Saccharomyces cerevisiae S288C: one gene and its partner. The protein of the gene in region 1 interacts with the protein of each later gene in a biochemical or structural test. Each region holds a gene or a part of one and is shown in the gene's direction. Other genes may lie near its edges.

What was found.
Region 2: the proteins of STE3 (region 1) and STE2 form a complex in vitro, tested with the Saccharomyces cerevisiae proteins (one study listed by BioGRID).

The regions. Positions count from the first base shown.
Region 1 is NC_001143.9:112,527-116,559, reverse strand, and holds STE3 (Ste3p), read left to right. Parts: upstream 1-1,932; coding exon 1,933-3,345; downstream 3,346-4,033. Other genes in the region: LST4 (Lst4p), read left to right, coding at 1-1,060. UniProt on the Saccharomyces cerevisiae protein: Receptor for the peptide pheromone a factor.
Region 2 is NC_001138.5:80,811-84,375, forward strand, and holds STE2 (alpha-factor pheromone receptor STE2), read left to right. Parts: upstream 1-1,769; coding exon 1,770-3,065; downstream 3,066-3,565. Other genes in the region: GTPase-activating protein GYP8, read right to left, coding at 1-1,102; BST1 (Bst1p), read right to left, coding at 3,335-3,565. UniProt on the Saccharomyces cerevisiae protein: Fungal class D1 G-protein-coupled receptor that acts as an alpha-factor pheromone receptor performing pheromone-dependent signal transduction involved in cellular conjugation, mating projection assembly, and in cell fusion.

The DNA.
Region 1 (4,033 bases):
AGCGGAAGTTATTCAGCCATCTTCCTTCAAAAGTGGGAGTAGTTCATTGCATTATCTATCGTCTTCTATCTCAAGCCAACCTGGTTCGTACGGTTCTTGGTTCAACAAAAGGCCAACAATTTCTCAGTTCTTTCAACCAAGCCCTTCTTTAAAACACAACGAGTCGTGGGAGAGGCTGCAAACAACTGCTGGAAATATGCAAAGGACTTCAAGTTCGTCTTCTTTGCAGCAAGCAACCTCCAGGTTATCACTAACCACTCCGCAACAATCACCGTCTATCAGCGAATATGATGAGTATCCTTGGATGGGCACACCTGGCTCTCCTAATGTTGGAGATGTGTCTCACGCACCCCCATTGGTTAAGAATATATCATATAAATTTCCACTAAAGAACGTTGAGTTGAAAAGAGATTGCCAAAGGATCTCTCAGGATGATCTTTTGGATGAGGCTTTTGAAAGAATATGTCAGCCCTCTTTGGCTGACCTTAATTCCACTTACGAAATTTTTCCAGGTAACTCTTCTTATGCGGATATTTTGACTACTGATTCTGATATTGATGATGGCTTGATGAATAAACCTCTGGAACTATTGCCGAAATATACAATGTATTTAACCCATTTTAACAATTTTTTCCAGTTGCAAGCATGTCCTGCTGGTCAAGAATCAGAGAGCAGAATAACAAATTCTATGAAGATTGACCTGTTAAAGGCGGATTACACAAGAAGTCTATTAGTATCGTTACGTTCAAGGGACATTAGGGATGTCGCATTGAAAAGAGAGTTTACTGGCAATAACAACAATAACAGCAACCAGAATATCTATGATGAGAATTTTGTCGGAAAAAGGAAGTACGTGTTGAAACAGAAGACCAGAAAAATCTTTTCCTGTGGCAAGATTGGCAAGCTAAGTACTAGTTTGGAAAACTGCGTTAATTTTGTTGAAAATAGTATAAAGAGTGCAATGATGTTATATGATGATAATGGAATAGATAGTGAGCTTCGCGATTCAGAAGCTTTACGGATTTTTTCATCTCTTGTTCATTATTGTAATGCAGGTTAATGTTTTCTCCTTCTTTACATGTTTAATATATTCCAAGTTACCTAAGAGGTGTACGATATTTTTTTCTTTTATATATATGATTTTCTCTATTCATTTTTTAGTTTTTTTTGATACATAAGCGAATCGCACATTGCGCAACTTCAATTTGTTGATTCGCCAAAGTATTCTTACCATAAAACAACCATTCGTTGCTTTACCCTTTCGTAATCATTTACCGTGATAACCATAATCAGAAACTTATTATTTCAGCCTAGTAGACCGGCCAAGCAGGCCTTGTAATGTTTCTCTTGATTGCTTGAATCTTTTAAGCAGCCAAATCTTTCCAAAAAAATGCAATTATCAGAACAAAACTATTTAAGGTGACTTCTCCGTATTTACACCACCAGAAGCGTTCTGGCTCCCCTTTTCTCTAAACGTTAAACATTTTACAATTGAAATGTTACCAATCCTATATTATTGTACCACATTGCCAGATTTATGAACTCTGGGTATGGGTGCTAATTTTCGTTAGAAGCGCTGGTACAATTTTCTCTGTCATTGTGACACTAATTAGGAAACTTCTCGACTATCAATGTGTAAATGAAGGAATAATGGCGGAAACTTTGAAACTTTGTCAATAATTGCATCATTGGATGCGTTTCATTTGGCCGTTATCACGGAGAGGCAGAGTTCTCTCCACAATTTGGGCAGAAGTCTTTTGAAAAGACATATATATATATATATATGTATATGAGTGGATGCTTAAGGTAAGAATAATTTCTGAATTCCCAAGTATTCATTTTGTGCAGTATTCACATATTCTATTTTATTGCTTTTTAACTTTAGAGGCAATTAAATTTGTGTAGGAAAGGCAAAATACTATCAAAATTTTCATGTCATACAAGTCAGCAATAATAGGGCTTTGTTTGCTAGCTGTGATACTATTAGCTCCCCCTTTAGCATGGCATTCACATACCAAGAATATTCCAGCAATCATTTTGATAACATGGCTTCTTACAATGAATTTAACGTGTATTGTAGATGCGGCAATATGGAGTGACGACGATTTCCTCACGAGATGGGATGGTAAAGGTTGGTGTGATATTGTCATCAAGTTGCAGGTTGGTGCGAATATTGGCATATCATGTGCCGTTACCAACATCATTTACAACTTGCATACAATTTTGAAGGCAGATAGTGTTTTACCGGATCTTTCATCATGGACGAAAATCGTCAAGGACCTTGTGATTAGCTTGTTCACACCTGTCATGGTCATGGGATTTTCATATCTGTTACAAGTATTTAGATATGGTATCGCTCGTTACAACGGTTGCCAAAACTTATTGTCTCCGACATGGATTACCACTGTTTTGTATACCATGTGGATGCTTATATGGTCATTTGTGGGCGCTGTTTATGCCACCTTAGTACTGTTCGTGTTTTATAAAAAACGCAAGGACGTTAGGGATATTTTACACTGTACCAATTCAGGTTTAAACCTGACAAGGTTCGCAAGGCTGTTGATATTCTGTTTCATTATTATTTTAGTCATGTTCCCTTTTTCTGTTTACACCTTTGTTCAAGATTTACAGCAGGTAGAAGGACACTATACTTTTAAAAATACCCATTCCAGCACCATCTGGAATACCATTATTAAATTTGACCCTGGCAGACCAATTTATAATATATGGCTTTATGTTTTGATGTCTTACCTAGTATTTCTAATCTTTGGCTTAGGTTCTGATGCTTTGCATATGTACTCTAAATTCCTGCGTTCCATCAAACTAGGATTTGTACTTGACATGTGGAAAAGATTCATTGATAAGAATAAGGAAAAACGAGTAGGCATATTGCTAAACAAGCTGTCCTCACGCAAAGAGAGCCGTAACCCATTTTCTACAGACTCTGAGAACTATATCTCCACGTGTACAGAAAACTATTCTCCCTGTGTAGGTACACCAATATCACAAGCGCATTTCTATGTCGACTATAGGATTCCAGATGATCCTAGAAAATCTCAAAATAAAAGCAAAAAATATTTGTTTGCTGATAAAGAAACAGATGATATTCTTGATGAAATAGACCTAAAAGAAAGTAGGCACATCCCTTACGTCACGCAAGGACAGAGCTTTGACGACGAAATATCACTTGGAGGATTCTCAAAAGTTACTCTCGATTATTCAGAAAAGCTTCATAATTCTGCAAGCTCCAATTTTGAAGGGGAAAGTCTTTGCTACTCTCCAGCTTCAAAAGAAGAGAATTCAAGCTCAAACGAACATAGTTCAGAAAATACTGCAGGCCCTTAACACAAGAGTGTCGCATTATATTTACTGGACTAGGAGTATTTTATTTTTACAGGACTAGGATTGAAATACTGCTTTTTAGTGAATTGTGGCTCAAATAATGTAACGATGAGCTCATCAGCTAATATGTGGCTTAGCGGTAAAAATGACGAATTGTGTGTAAACTTTACTTTAATATTTACTGCTTTTTTGCTACTTTGGTTTCTATTTTTTTCTATAGAAAAGCAATAACGTCTGTATTATATATAAATATAAGGAGAAATTGATACAAGTTCCACACAAGAAAAATTTTTTAAGCTCGAAACAAAAGTAAGCTTTTGCTCCAAAAGTCGATTAGCAGAACAGTCTTTAATAAACGAGAGAATTGGCACGATCACTTAATTGGCCATTTTTTTAGGAGCATACCAAAATTCAGGCCAGGAAAACATGAAAGAGCATCATATCTCCGCTCATAATCAAAGAATATTTAGGTACCCACAATTTCAGTTCGCTCTATCACTATTCTGCACACCAAGTTGTAGTGGTTACTTGTGTCATTCAAGAAAACCATTACTGTCATAGAGAATGTTACGTAACAAATGATATTATCTTGGGGCTCATGAAAATGCCAAAATAATATGTTTAAGAGTTTTGAATGAACACAGTACAATAAATTGTGCGTAATTGCTTCATTTCTTCACTCTGTTATATT
Region 2 (3,565 bases), on another chromosome or scaffold:
GTAATGCACTATATTTATTAAGACTCACCCGTTTCAAAGCCTTCTTGCTGGCAGTAGTCGCATCTTTTCTAGTTATTTGCAAGACTTCTTCCCAAAGCGCCTCATCATACAGTTTTTTCTGTAAAACTGTTTGTATAGCACCATGGCGCAGGTCAAAATCGTTCTCGAAGAAATCAGAATTAGCTTCTATTTGCTTCGAAATTTCAGACGCATTTTGCAATAGCAGGTTCTTGTATATGATCAAAGGTAAACGCATAGATTGCATCGATATTGTCATGTCAAATATCTGGAAAAGAATTTTATGAAGATTGTTGTCACCGCTATCTATAGGTTTCAAATTATGTGCAAAGATTGTCAATATTGACCCAATAGCGAAAAGGGGCTCATTTTCGTCAAATTTGAATAGATTATAGAATTTCATGTTTGATTCCTTTATCAATGAAGAGATTACTCTCAATTGCTCAAATGAAAAATCTAGTGAGTTCATCATGAAATCCCTCAGATATAATAGGGTAAATGCTTCGATGCAATAAAACAGCCTTTCCATATCAATTTCTTCTTGCAATGAGAGATTTTCTAGTTCCAGTCCGTTCTCTTTTGTGACATTCCAACTAAAACACATGATGAAAACAGACACAATATCATGATAACCTTGGTAATAGTTCAACGTTGGGTACTTTCTCAATACCCGAGTAATTAACTCCACCAGTAGTTTTCTCAATTGCAGTTTCAAGTTTTTGTCGACAATTCCACCAAAAGACCTTTCTGCATCCAATATCACCTGACCTTCATCTTTATGTTTTTCCACTGGTGTAATGTACTCTGTTGCATCATCAATAAGCAACTGGGACGCCAATAATTCATACCAACAATCTTTTCTTAATGAGTTGTTTACAAACCCCAGAGGCCCTAAACCTATGTACCTCAAAGCTCGGACATCTTTTTTCTCTAATAACTTTGATATAACTTTTCCTTTTTGTTCTTCTGCCTTTCCACTGTCACAACGAGAAAGTGATTCCAGATATGCGTTATAACCTCCCCTTGTCAACGCGTCTTTGTCGTGGCTACTCTGATTAGTATGAAATAATGACCTTAATGGCATCGTATTTTGTTAATTGGCTTGTTCTATGTCATTTGCTAAATTTTCTCTTTATTTCTTTACTTTGCCAATTCAAGATAATCTTCCCTTCCCAGAGAGAAAAAAGGAAAAATTTAGCTATGAAACCTCAATAAGCTTTTTAATACACCAAAGATTCAAGATAAGAGCATAGAACGAACTGTAGAATAGTCCGGATATGTTATCCAATGCCTGCCAAAATGCATTGTCACACGCTGTAGTGCTCGAATAGGTGTTGCAATCCGTCAATATACGTCTTGCTCTGTGGGTAAATGTCTCGTGCATTAAGACAGGCTAGTATAAACGAGAAGAAGTATCCTGCTTTGCAATGAAACAATAGTATCCGCTAAGAATTTAAGCAGGCCAACGTCCATACTGCTTAGGACCTGTGCCTGGCAAGTCGCAGATTGAAGTTTTTTCAACCATGTAAATTTCCTAATTGGGTAAGTACATGATGAAACACATATGAAGAAAAAAGCTTTCCTACATATTCAAGATTTTTTTCTGTGGGTGGAATACTATTTAAGGAGTGCTATTAGTATCTTATTTGACTTCAAAGCAATACGATACCTTTTCTTTTCACCTGCTCTGGCTATAATTATAATTGGTTACTTAAAAATGCACCGTTAAGAACCATATCCAAGAATCAAAAATGTCTGATGCGGCTCCTTCATTGAGCAATCTATTTTATGATCCAACGTATAATCCTGGTCAAAGCACCATTAACTACACTTCCATATATGGGAATGGATCTACCATCACTTTCGATGAGTTGCAAGGTTTAGTTAACAGTACTGTTACTCAGGCCATTATGTTTGGTGTCAGATGTGGTGCAGCTGCTTTGACTTTGATTGTCATGTGGATGACATCGAGAAGCAGAAAAACGCCGATTTTCATTATCAACCAAGTTTCATTGTTTTTAATCATTTTGCATTCTGCACTCTATTTTAAATATTTACTGTCTAATTACTCTTCAGTGACTTACGCTCTCACCGGATTTCCTCAGTTCATCAGTAGAGGTGACGTTCATGTTTATGGTGCTACAAATATAATTCAAGTCCTTCTTGTGGCTTCTATTGAGACTTCACTGGTGTTTCAGATAAAAGTTATTTTCACAGGCGACAACTTCAAAAGGATAGGTTTGATGCTGACGTCGATATCTTTCACTTTAGGGATTGCTACAGTTACCATGTATTTTGTAAGCGCTGTTAAAGGTATGATTGTGACTTATAATGATGTTAGTGCCACCCAAGATAAATACTTCAATGCATCCACAATTTTACTTGCATCCTCAATAAACTTTATGTCATTTGTCCTGGTAGTTAAATTGATTTTAGCTATTAGATCAAGAAGATTCCTTGGTCTCAAGCAGTTCGATAGTTTCCATATTTTACTCATAATGTCATGTCAATCTTTGTTGGTTCCATCGATAATATTCATCCTCGCATACAGTTTGAAACCAAACCAGGGAACAGATGTCTTGACTACTGTTGCAACATTACTTGCTGTATTGTCTTTACCATTATCATCAATGTGGGCCACGGCTGCTAATAATGCATCCAAAACAAACACAATTACTTCAGACTTTACAACATCCACAGATAGGTTTTATCCAGGCACGCTGTCTAGCTTTCAAACTGATAGTATCAACAACGATGCTAAAAGCAGTCTCAGAAGTAGATTATATGACCTATATCCTAGAAGGAAGGAAACAACATCGGATAAACATTCGGAAAGAACTTTTGTTTCTGAGACTGCAGATGATATAGAGAAAAATCAGTTTTATCAGTTGCCCACACCTACGAGTTCAAAAAATACTAGGATAGGACCGTTTGCTGATGCAAGTTACAAAGAGGGAGAAGTTGAACCCGTCGACATGTACACTCCCGATACGGCAGCTGATGAGGAAGCCAGAAAGTTCTGGACTGAAGATAATAATAATTTATGATCAAAATTTACGGCTTTGAAAAAGTAATTTCGTGACCTTCGGTATAAGGTTACTACTAGATTCAGGTGCTCATCAGATGCACCACATTCTCTATAAAAAAAAATGGTATCTTTCTTATTTGATAATATTTAAACTCCTTTACATAATAAACATCTCGTAAGTAGTGGTAGAAACCACCTTTGCTTTTACGAGTTCAAGCTTTTTTCTTGCCATGATCTAGAACTCTCAGGCAATATATACAGTTAATCTTTTTTTACTGGGTTGTAGTTCTAATGTATTGTTTCGAAAAATAGCAACCAGGCACATATTATGTTCACCAAGTGGTGTATCCAGTACAGATTTCTTATTCCATAAATGAAACTGAAAACGGTTAAGTACACAAATAAAATGATGGTAACTTTACCATCCCACGTGTCTAAAGGTACGCTGTTTGGCATTTTGAAAATAGAATTATTTCCAACCAAAAAAATAATTGGTGCCACTGCTAGTATATTGTGATG